3 linked regions of the Schizosaccharomyces pombe genome follow. Changing the gene in region 3 together with the main gene of any one other region gives a genetic interaction. Each region holds a gene or a part of one and is shown on either strand. Other genes may lie near its edges.

Region 1 (4,059 bases), on a different chromosome or scaffold from region 3:
TATCTCACCAATTTGAGGATCGTTTACATAAGCCCACCGACTTCTATAAGTCAACAATCGTCTCAAAAACTCTTCTCTGCTCCAGGGCTTATATGTGCATTTAGAAGCTTTTAGAGACTTTAAAAGAATATCTTCATTTCTTTCGTCAATTTTGTCTAACTGATCCAAAATTTCATTTGTCTCCATATCGGTAGGAAATGACATTATCACCCGTTCTAAGAGTTAAAAAATTATATTTCTTTTCGAAAAATGTGGTGTCTCAAATATTATCATAGAAAACTTTTATTACATGCCTTTTCCAAACGTTTTCAGCAGGAATCAAGGTAGCGCAAGTCAAAGTACTTAGGAAGGATCTCAAAATACCAATTTGGATCATGAGCTCAATATTCGTTTCATCAAAATTGTTAAAAAGTTTTACCGTTTTAAGAAAACATGTCCATGTTATTAGCCAAACCACACTTGAAGGCATAAATTCCTTGAAATTGATCAACACCACCGTATAGTAAATTTACGAGAATACTAAAAGTAAAATAGTAAGGTAATATGGAAAATAACTATACAATTAACCTATTCATACTGACCTGTGTAACTATACCTGAACAATTAAACATTGCTACTATATAATCCATAATTTAAGGTAAATAAAATATGTCATCCATAAAGACATATAACATGTTGTTAATTGTTTTGATCTAATTAAAAGGAGCTAATCATAAGCTTATGGCAAGTAAATATTTTCAAGATTACATTTTTTGTAGAATCCTCGATAACGCATATGCTAACATGCTGAAAAATCTAAATAAAGCCCTAAAGCTAGAATATTTCGGACAGATTATTGGGCGACCTTTTGAAAGTGAGGGTCTTTAGATGTTACAGCTGCAGTAGCTTCAATTACCTTTTCAAAAATACCTTTGTAGGCGGCTATAACACCGTTATTGTTCTTAAGAGTTCTTCCTACACCAAAGTCCAAAGGTTTGCCAAACATATCAGAAACAACACCACCAGCCTCTTCAACAAGAAGAGAACCACCAGCATGATCCCAAATTTTTTCTTCAAATGTCATTTTGGTTGGTAAACGAAGGTAGATGTCACCATCACCACGAGCAAGACTAGCGTATTTGGCTTGAGAATCCATCTTGGTAGGTCCACGAGTAATCCCTAAGTACTTTGCAATTTCTTCTTGAGTTCCTTGCATTGAATGACCAGCCTCTACTCCTTCGCAAAATTTTGAATCCTTGGTGTTTTGAACATCTTGCATGTGCACTTGAACTGGTTCTAATTTTTCGTTATGGAGAGAATACTGGAAGCAACCATGGTTACGAACAGCGGACATTATGATACCTTTGGGACTTGTCTCGGGCTGATTAAAGTCATATGGAAGATTAGGGCATCCAATGGCACTTACCACAGGTTTTCCATTCTCAATCAAAGCTAAACAAATAGCATACTGGGCACCACGTAGAAATCCTTTAGTTCCATCAATGGGATCCAAAGTCCACATACGACCATTGCGACCACCGTGATATGATCCTTGGTCAATAATGCTCATCATTTCTTCAGCTGACTTGATTTGACCAAGCTCTTTGTATTCAGTAGCATGTTGGATAGTTTCTTGAACTAATTCCCAAACACGAGAGCAGGTTTGGGTGTTTTCTCTCAAAAAGTCGGAATCCTCTTCGCCAACAATTGGATCATTGGGAAATGCATCTTTTAACATAGAGATTACGATAGCTTGAGCACCAAAATCGCCAATAGTCACAGGTGATTTATCATCTTTAGTAAGTGCCCCAGCAGCACTCTTCTCCTTGATAAGTTGATTAAACACTTTTTCGGTCAAATAGCTAGCTCTGCGCACAGCAGCAATAGCTAATTGTTTTTCGGCATCAAAGCTCATGGTAAATAATTTTCTAATGTTATTTATTAATGGAGGTATGATTTTAGCACCAAATTTCCTGTTAACACGGAGTTTGGAAATTTTTGTAAACCTGGGCAGTGGAAGTGCGAAGAATATGAAATCAGCATATACGGTGTTTAATTGACGTTTCCACATTTAACCAAAAATATTGTTCAAATAGAAGAAAGAACTAAAAAATTGTTATGAAACGAGAAAGAGTTTCATTTTTTCTGACTAAAAGACCTTTTTTTTTTGTAAAATCGCAGGTTATGCTAACTTTTATTAAACAATAATGATTATGTAGTTTCTATTGTGAAAAGAGCATGTTAATATTTTAAAACAGGTTTCTCCATGTCCACATTTTAGGTTTTCATTAATTATACAAACGACACTACTAAAGTCTGGGTATTGGCAAAGCAGTTCGCCAACCCTTCCAACCTATGGAGAAAGGATGAAATATAATATTAAGGAAAAAAAATATCATTCTGATGGAAAAAACGCATAATTTAAAAGCAGTGCAAGTCCGTATCTTGCGTTTCCCTTTAACAGGCAAATATGCCTAAAATTTTTATATAAGTGTAGATACCAAGGATGAAATGAAGGCATAAAAATATTTTAAAGGGATTGATTAGTAAAAGAAGAAACTGCTCATAAAATTTCCTTTCTCTCAAAATACTGTTGTTTGAAGAGACTTGAGAAATTAATGAACAATCAGATATTCCTCAATACAGATTGAAGAAATAGTTTCCTTATGGCAAATTACAATCATATGTAATATATTGTGATAACAAGACTTACATTCCATAAAGTCTAGTCGTTTTCAGGTCAACTCATAAATGTAAACAAAAGTAATACACCGTGACGGAACGTACTGCGTTATCAGATAAATGAGGTTCAGTCTAACGCGTCTTCTCATATTCAAACATAAACAAACATGAACATTTTCCCAATTGTTAAGTACTCTGTAGCTGAGGATTCGTATACTACAGATTCCTCCCATATCAACTGGTCACATTATTCAGATGGAGGTTTTACACTCTCATTAACGTCTGGATTGCTTCAAATTCGTCAACACGAAGAATTAATTGTACGCGACATGAAACCATATTGCTAGAAAAATTCAATATTTTTAACAAACAAACAGCAAAGTATAAACTTGTTAGATCTCTGGCACCAATTGATACCGGGAACGAAGGAAAAATGTCTAACTCTGCTTTCACGCGCTCCGTGTATGAATATTCGTGCTTTCACTAATAATGTAAGTAAAACAAAAGCAGATTTATTCAAAATCACATTGAGGCCTCTTTTTTTAAAAAAAAAAATGGAGTGTTGATGAAGCGTATTTTGTTGTTAATAAATTTAGGTGATGAAAAGATTTCAAGTGAAATTCCCATCTGACGTGCATTATATGAAAGCCAAAGTTGAATTTGAGAAGCTAGGCCTGGTGTTCAAAGATGCAAAGTCTTCCTCTGAGAAGAAGCAATTCAATAACTCCCAAAGTCAATCTAATAACTCACAGGAACTTTCGTTGATGAACAATGCATATAACAAGTCATCGGCGCAACAGCCAAATCTTTTATTACAACCGAGTTATATCCCCATGACCCAAACAGCAACAACTGCTGTGAACAATAGCACAAACTATGTCAATCCAGCACCACTGCAGCATGTCATGCCAAATGCTGAAATCTTCTCCAATACACCACCGCTTAAGCGATTCCGCGGGGATGCGGGCATGACCCAAATGCCCCTTCGAAGTGATACATCAATTGAAAGTATTACTGCGTCACAACAACCCACTTGGGATGAAAACGTGGTGATAACTTCATCACCTTTTAATCCCAATCGTAATGCCTACTCTTACGGTGCAAACTCACAATACCCCATTATTGCTGCTACGCCGCTGAACTCTCAGACACAGGCTTCGTGGGTTGCTCAACCGGAGAACCAAGCATACGCAAATTTGATTCCATCACCCCCAACGACTTCACAAATCCTACCAACAGAACTTACTGAAGAGGAAAAGCAATTACGCTCCAAGGTATTATTCTATCTAAAACAAGACAGCTTCATCCAATTATGTCAAAGTTTGGAACGGGTATGGAACAAGATGTAGGAAGACAGACCAATTCAACTTAATCCCAAATTTAAAAAAGTAGTAAAAA
Region 2 (3,532 bases), on a different chromosome or scaffold from region 3:
AAATTCTTGTAAGCCAAATGCGCATTGCTGGAAATTCTGCTATTGGTAATCCGGCTGTTAAAGACAGGATCAACAAGATCGTATGGAAAAATGGTAACCCTGATCGCTTATATTCTCTGCATGAAAATGGCATGGTGCGAGTGTTCGATGTAAAGAGTGAGGAATTGCTTGCAGAGAAATCGATTAGCAAAGTCTCTTTGACTGGTATTGCGTTTGCTGTAAATCGTCCGGAATTCGCGATTAGTGCATCTGATGGAAGAGTCTTTTTCTTGAGGCAGGACGATAAACTTTCAACTCTCGAAAGCTTACCTAGCAGAGAAGCTCAAGAGGAAATTACTGATTTATCAGATATTCTTTGGATCAACTCACCCGTCGATAAGTTGGAGCATTTGATTGTGGGCTGTAAAGAGCGAATTTCTGTTTACGACCGCAAATATTTACCATAAAGCACTAACAAAGATAAACGAATACAGGAAGATTTCCCTCTTTTTATGAAACTTCCAACTTTTCTAATCAAAATGAGTTATTTGTTAAAAAATAATGATTTACGATTTCTAACCGTAATGAACCAAAAATCTACACCGTTGCTGGAGCTATATTTGTATTAGATATACGGCAACTATTTAATCTAATCTCAACGTTACTAAAATAAGAACAACACTAACTTGGACCATCAACTTGTATAAAATTGTGTAGTGATCATATTTGAATGTATCTTCAGGGTTGAAGCACATTGTAGCAAGACATAAAAAAGTGTAATTTCATCATGAATCATATAGCAATAGGCATGTAGACTATCCTCCAAATTTGACAATGAGCGTAGACAATTTGTCAACTAAGGTTCAGAATCAGTGATTACAGCAAAGGCTTTGTCAACACTGACAAGAGGTGATATGTCAATTTCCTTCACTATGCATTTGCCAGTACCTTTCTCAAAGATCCAATGGCTTCTAAACAGCTTTCCACCACCAGGCTTCTCAGCGCCTAACTTTTTAATTAGCTCACCTTTAGGATCCGAAAGCAAATGATAAGGAAAGTTTTGCTTATCCTTGAAAGCTTTTTGAGCTTTGCTAGTATCGAAAGACAACCCTAAAACTTCATAATCAGAGGCCTGTATCTTAGGATAGTTATCACGAAAACCACAACCTTGTTTCGTGCAGCCAGGAGTACTAGCTTTTGGGTAGGCAAAAATTACAAGCCCTTTATTTGCAGTAATATCGCGAAGTCGAATGGAAGTTCCATCTTCGTCAGGCAAAGTGATATCGGGAATTACGTCTCCCACTTGAATAGTTGAATCAACTGATTCATCTTTTGCAGGCTTTTTCAGCATTACTGGAGCAGCTTCAGGAATAATCGTTCCTTTGCTATCCAAGACGTTTGCAATCTTGGCTGCCAATCTGCTAGATCTTCTGGGGGCGTCCATTGACAGGCTTAAAGTGTGCAAGAAAAATGCTAGAGGGGAAGGAGAAAGGTTGATGCAGAGCTGCAGTATATAAATTTATATTCTAAACAACACCTGTAAAACCAAAAACGTTGGTGTCAATGCTGATCAGTATTAAATCGCTTTAACTTGTAAAGGCTAGATAAAATGATCAAAGTAGTGAAACTCTGTTCAGGATGAAGTACTCTGAACTTTTTACTACTCAACTTTCAGAATTTCGGTACCAAAATAAAAACAATTTTACAATAACACCTGAGATTTTCTTTCTGGTGTAGGAAGAAAGTACAGGTAGTGAAGAATCACGACATAAATATTACCAATTTGTTAGCTTCGCTTTGATATTACTTTACAACATTACCAATGTGATCCCGTAAAATCGTATTTAGCGTATTTAGCTGACCTTTCAAACGATCGATAGGGAACCGATCTTCCCCTGCTTATACAATCGGAATAGCTTTGCATCCTACTATGACTAAAGAATGTTTTCTTTCATAAAATTTCTAGTCAAATCATTATTAACATGGTGTCGTTTTTACTAGTATGGCTTTAAAAAATGGTCTTTCGTAAACTGTAACAGCATTTTCTCTGATTGTCCGTCTCGACAGCGTTACAGAAATATAAATAAAATAACAATTAATTTATTAACAAATTTCAAATATCTTTTGTTCGTCAATTGTAGAACGGATCCATCAGCTAGGAACTGATTTGCATGCAATGTCAATGTAGCAATCGTAGTAAAGATTCTAAGGAAGTAAGCCAAGACTATAAAACATGATGTTAGCAAGCGAGGCTATCGTCTTTATTAAACTAACATTGCATTTTTTTTATAAAAAGGCTAAAAACATTGCATCGACCGGGAGTCGAACCCGGAGCTAATGCTTGGAAGGCATTGATGTTACCGCTACACCATCGATGCTTGGATGAAGAGGTAAAATAATAGACATATATTACTTTAAAATTAAACTTGTATCGAAGTATTAGCAACTGGTTCTACATTATGAAAATAACCCAAAAACAATCCAAACTGTTTGGCTAATAATGTGTCTATTTATTATACATTAAATAGTTGAAATTATGGTATACTGCCTACTATGCTTGTAATATACTATAAATGTGTAATGTATAATAAAATGGGCATGTGGTGTAGATGGTTATCACGCTTCCTTAGCATGGAAGAGGTCCCAGATTCGAGTTCTGGCTTGTCCAAGTTTTTTTTTGTTTTTTACGTTTGTTGATTCAAACTATATAGAAACGCGTTTACGCAGAGAACATGTTTTCAAATGATTGCGAGCCATCGTCTACCCTATAGCCGTATGGAATTATCAATTTTATTACAACGAAGGGTCGTAGCGGAGAAAGTATATTAATGCATTGTAAATTCATTTCATATAAAATTAATTATTATACCATGACCAAAGGTCTTCTAACATAAGTATATCCAAATTATCTGAAACATTATAACTGATAAAGAGGAATTTCGTTAACTTGCGTACATTCAAGGAAGGGCCGCAACTGTAGATGTAATGGTTTTGCTAAGAGCCTCCACTAGTTCATCTATTTGCTCGCGAGTGATAATATACGGAGGAGCCAGCAATACGTGGTCTCCTCTGGTGCCATCAATTGTACCCATGCCTGGATAAACGAAAACACCATGCTCGCAACCTATTTTGTTGGCGAGAGAACCAACTTTGTATTCAGGAGGGAAACATTCCTTGGTAGCTTTGTCTTTAACGATCTCGAGTCCCCAAAACAAACCGCGGCCTCGAATATTTCCCACGTTGGGATGAGAGTCAAAAGTCTCATGTAATTTTTCCGAAAGGTATTTACCCATTTCTGCTGCCCTTTCAACAAGATGATCTCGTCTTAAAATAGTTTGCACCGCCAGGGCAGCAGAACAAGCAATTGGGTGGGCTTGATATGTAAAAAAACCAGCCATGGCAGCATCTTTTTGCTCAAACACGTTCATAATACGATGACCAACAAGCGCTCCAGAAATGGGTTGATAACCACCTCCTAAACATTTGGCAATAGATTGAATGTCAGGTGTCACACCCTCTTGCTCCCATGCATGCATTGTTCCCGTACGGCCAA
Region 3 (5,016 bases):
AGCCGTATGCATGAAGTATGAGAAGTACAGATGTAATAAATAATGTTGTAGAAAGAGAAATGTTAACTAATCGTTGCTTACTTAGCTTAATTTGTCGTACCAGCTCCATTCTATGATTTAATATTGCTTGTCATATGTTTGTTGCAAACGGCATATGAATATCCTAAAATCTAATAACTGTTAGCAATAGCAGACTACACTGTACTGCATCACTACATCGCACGTTATAAATTTACCTATTCACTGTAACTAAGAGATGATGTTGATAATGGATTTGCGAGCCGAAAGATAACTAATTACAAATTATAAAAGGTACCCAATTGGTTTCCCTTCTTCCTTTCAGATATTTCAATCATAATTTATAATAGCATATTCCTTTGGATGAACTACAATTGAACTGTTCATACTACCTTACATAACGAAAATAGAAGATCGCAAGAAACTTAACGGTGTTCTAACGGAAAGATAAACTAGGTTACGAAAGTGAACACTTCATAACTTAGTACGAAGTGTAAAATAAGTCGATAAAAAAGCATTGCTCCAGCAGTGACTCGAACACTGGGCCTCTTGCTTACTAGGCAAGCGCTCTACCACTGAGCTACAAGAGCTATTGTTAAGTCGATTCTTTTAGTTTAACTTGTTACAACTAAACGTCCTAAAATGATAAGTTATTAAAGGAAAGATGTGTTAAAACGAACAGTCAAAAATAGTAAAAAGCGGCAAACAGTAGGTAACCAAATTTTTAAAAAACCAATTCTCTGTATTAGCAAAGGAATATATTATCAAAACGTATTACATATTTAGCAAAGCAACCGTTTTATTTTCCTGATGCAACACAAAACAATTTACTAAATTTAATATGACTATACGTTATATTTTTTTGCGTGTAGAAGTTTCAATACCATTATTGCAATCATACATGAATGAAGCGAATACACAATCAAGGAACATAAAAAAGAGTTTTCGCTTACTTTCGATTCGTATCCCAGGCAAAACTGCTTTTGCTAATGGAGTTCATTAAGGTATGATGCCAGTCGCTTCTTTGCACTACGCAAATGTATATATGTAGATCAGACAAATTGTATATCAGTCCTTAAACGAATAAGAAGTAAAAAATCATGTTGAACCGTTTAAGAAACAAAACTTATTGTACTATTTCAACCGTTCTTGAACACGTCTGTTTTAATATATAAAACCATAAAAATCCGTGACCTTTTCATATAATAATACGCTTAACGCAATATAATCTTAACTTCATGAACAAAAAAACATGCTACTCTACATAGAATCTATCTAAACGATCATTCTTTTGATTTCCATAAGTTTTCTTTTTCTCTGAATACACAGTATTAAAAAAATATTATTGTTGATTTAATGTATAGAGTGAAAGAAACCTTTGTAAGCGGAAACATGCGATGATGCTTGCGTTACCATAAGCAATCCCTGTTGTTTATTTTACCATCCTATTGTTTACCGAATACTGCTCGATTCTTGGAAGCATTAGTTGTGGACTTAAAAAAAATTTAAAACGAGCTCTCCCTCACCTTTGTCTAATATCAAAAGGTGACAGCGCCATTTGTTCAATTTCATTTATCAAAAGCGATGTAACTTAATATGTCTTCATGTCCGTAAAACGACAAAAAAATTTGGATACAATAGCATACTTGACTTATATTAAAGAAAACCTTAGTGACCCTTAGAAAACGTTTTGCAAGCAATTTGCTATACATTTTTTATCTTTTTCATAAGCTTTGCGATCAGGTAACAACAGATTGTTACCTTCCATTACCTTCATGACCTATTAGTGCGTGCGGCGTCAAGAATCGATTCCATTACCCAACGTCTTCAACGAATTCTTCCTTTGGAGTGTTTCCAAGTTTTTTTAGCATTATCTTCTGTATAAAGGAGTTCATGCAAGAAAAAGAAAGTAAGGAATTGAGGTTCGCTGCAATTATCGTTAACAAAGAGAGAATTAGTAAACTAGCCTTTTTCGGCTAAACTGGATTATCTTGCTTTTTGAAGGCGTATGCAAATTTGGTTTACTCTTCACATTTCAGATTTTCTCTTCCCTGTGCCTACTCTCATTTGCTGCAAGTGACTTTTATAGCTGGGGTTGGAACAGGAGTCGGTAGTGTCAAATTTATTAGTCTTGAATTCTAACATCGTTGTTGTTGTCTCGTTTTTTTGGCCATATTTAAATCATAGTCCTTGATTAATTTTTTTTTCTCTTTCTTTATCATTGGATCACTGTTTACCATAAACCGATCCATCATTTCCTTCCAAACACCATATATTTTATAGATATATTATCCTTGTTTTATTGTTATTTAGCCTTTAGAAAAATCGTATTCTACGTGTTGGATATTATCCGAACAGTCAAATTTTCGCGTTTTAATTATGGAAGACTTAGATACTAAGATCAAAACGTTAAAAAATATGGGCGTTTCGGAATCCGATGCCAAGGATTCTTTAGAACGCTGTGGTTATGATGTTGAAAGTGCTGCGGAATTCATTTTCAGTGGTCAGTTAGAAAAGAGCCGACTCGTTCCCATTATGTCTAGCACATCTATTGCTTCTTCATTACCAAGCTACCAAGATACATTCTTTCTTCCTTCCCCTCGCAAGCGTAGAAGGTTACCTGGGCGCATTGGAACAGTTCTAAAACCCAGCGCTTTGTTTCCTGCAATTGCTCCCTTCCTTTTTGTTGTTTTTGAGATACCCGTTGCCCTCAACACGTTTGTGCACGCAACTTGTAAAGGTTTACTATTTGCAGAAGACAACGCTTCTTTTCACAGACCGTTTACAGATGTTTCTGCGCATTTATCTTCCTCCTCTCTTTCCAAATACAACCATCATTCAAACCATCGACTGGCTTCCCCCGGATGGTGGTATGGAGAAGACTCTTGCATTTCTCAGTCTTTAGATCCTAGATCTGTTATGCAAGTGCAAACAATTCGTGCCTTTGAGTTTCTCTTCTCCAGTCATCGCCTTTACTTGGATACTGTACATATTACCGCTGCACTATCTCAAGTTTTAGCCGGACTTGGTAATACCAATACATCAATGTCCGATGGTGACTGTATTGCAGCTTTTCTATCTTCATATTTTTCTCCTCCTAATGCTGAATTTGATTCTACATTTTGTAGCACTCTCTCATCTTTGACAAATTCCGAAAAACCCACATACATTTTTAACTTTAAGCCCAATTCAACTCCCGACTTACGTTTGAGTATAGAATCTTGCTTGGATTTATTGCTTCATCCTCCTTCTTCAGCTCAAAAAAATTGGAGTTGGATAAAACATGTTGGAAAAGTCTTTTGCTGTTCACTTCCAGGAAATAATGCATCCGGTACACCTCGATTCTTGCTAACACCAAAGATTGATTTAAGTAAATGTATCATAGAAAATCGTGATGAGATGTTACGAAGATACCAATTAGAGACTGTTTACCGCAAAACTTTATTAGAGTGGGAGGATTTGTATAAGCGTTTGACTGGCGTTACACTTACTGATAAAGACATTGGTGAACTCTTGACTGATGGACAGCAATTTCTTGAAAAAAGAAATCCTGCGTTGTCTAGTCATTTACAGCTGTTAAAAGAGACCTTACAAACCAAAATTAGCACACTTATATCAAATACAAATGCTACTCAGCATAAACTCTCCACTTTATATCGAGGTATGCAAAATAAATGTACGCGACGCCTCCTTGCCGTTATTATCGAACCATCGATAATATACATTTGTCTCAAAAACAGTGCAGTTCAGTCAAATCGAAATGTTTCGCCGTCTGCTAATCATAACGAACAATGGTACTTAGTTCGCTTCACCACAAGCGCAACGATATCCCAGGATAGTCCGCCATGCATTGTAGAACCTGTTACTTTTGAAGAAGTTGATTTAGAGTTTGAGAAACATATATCCTACCATAACCGTCTTTTGATATACGTTGATGATGACTGCGAAGCTTCTACTCGTACTGTCATACCCACTTCTGTCAAAAATTTTATTGCAGAAGACAATGAATATTTTGATGATGAGTTAGCAGGTATAATTCATTCACCGACTGTAAGCACAAGGAGCAGCCGCAGCAGCGATGTTTCCGAATACGACCTTGAGGATCAAGGGGGCTTACAGTTAACTGTGCCCCATATCAATACAGATGTACAATGTCACCGATCCCGAAACAGTGCTTGCGAATTTCCGGAAAGTATGCATGTGGAACATAGCGGTTAAAAGGACGATCATTACATGACAGCATTTTTCGGCTGTTTTGTTCGCAAAAATTTATACCAATGCTTTTATGATTTCCTTTCTCTAATGTAACTCGTTTCCTTGTATTATTCGTTGTCTGTTTGATGGAATCACATTCAAAAATTTTGTCAAAAATAACTAAATATATTAATGTCTATTTAGATGCATGTGTAGAATTATAGTTAATGTTATGCGAAAATAAAATAAAATAAATGAAATGAAGTCAAGTAGTGAATGATAATCTTTGTGATAAAACCAAAATATCGCAAAAGCATAAAGACCAAACAATGTGCCAGATATATATTAACATAAAGGGGTCGGTAAGTAGCAGACATAGAAATTCAAATGTAAGCAGGAAGGTTATTGTAATATTATTAAACCCAAGTAAACCAAAGAAAGAAAAAACAAAACAAATATTTGAGTCAGATAAAAATTGCAAGAAGTGTATGATATTATTGGAGCATGAAACACTTCATCAAGATTTGGTTATAAGAAGAACAGCAAAATACACAATGGCCATCTGGAATCTCTTCGTTTCTATTCTTTTTCTGTCTGGACGCTTTGTAGTGTATTTTGCAAAGACATTACAGGTGGTTTTCTTTTCATGTAGTACTTCTTCTTATGGGCTTGTAATTTCGCAGTACAGGGACTCATTAAACTATCAGTAGGACTAGCAACATTCAATGCATGCTTAGGAAGTTCATGCTTCTGCAACACCTGTTGACGGAGTGTTGCACTTTCCTGATGCAATGGCTGAATTGT

What was found. Genes that interact genetically often act in the same process or in processes that back each other up.
Region 1: mutations in ucp6 (region 3) and tol1 together harm fitness less than expected from each alone (positive genetic interaction), as found in Schizosaccharomyces pombe (one large-scale study listed by BioGRID).
Region 2: mutations in ucp6 (region 3) and bcp1 together harm fitness less than expected from each alone (positive genetic interaction), as found in Schizosaccharomyces pombe (one large-scale study listed by BioGRID).

Annotation. Positions count from the first base shown.
Region 1 is NC_003421.2:1,547,839-1,551,897, reverse strand, and holds tol1 (3'(2'),5'-bisphosphate nucleotidase/inositol-1,4-bisphosphate 1-phosphatase), read right to left. Parts: upstream 1,995-4,059; 5' UTR 1,895-1,994; coding exon 833-1,894; 3' UTR 501-832; downstream 1-500. Other genes in the region: zinc finger C3HC-type containing RNA export factor Rsm1, read right to left, coding at 1-204; meiotic recombination protein Rec7, read left to right, coding at 2,829-2,981, 3,039-3,152, 3,258-4,010. UniProt on the Schizosaccharomyces pombe protein: Phosphatase that converts adenosine 3'-phosphate 5'-phosphosulfate (PAPS) to adenosine 5'-phosphosulfate (APS) and 3'(2')-phosphoadenosine 5'-phosphate (PAP) to AMP. May regulate the flux of sulfur in the sulfur-activation pathway by converting PAPS to APS.
Region 2 is NC_003423.3:283,103-286,634, forward strand, and holds bcp1 (thioredoxin peroxidase), read right to left. Parts: upstream 1,715-3,532; 5' UTR 1,424-1,714; coding exon 836-1,423; 3' UTR 501-835; downstream 1-500. Other genes in the region: csc3 (WD repeat-containing protein), read left to right, coding at 1-446; SPOM_SPBC1773.03C (aminotransferase), read right to left, coding at 2,937-3,532. UniProt on the Schizosaccharomyces pombe protein: Thiol-specific peroxidase that catalyzes the reduction of hydrogen peroxide and organic hydroperoxides to water and alcohols, respectively.
Region 3 is NC_003424.3:2,844,138-2,849,153, forward strand, and holds ucp6 (UBA domain protein Ucp6), read left to right. Parts: upstream 1-1,831; 5' UTR 1,832-2,397; coding exon 2,398-4,236; 3' UTR 4,237-4,487; downstream 4,488-5,016. Other genes in the region: Spo12 family nuclear protein, read right to left, coding at 4,792-5,016.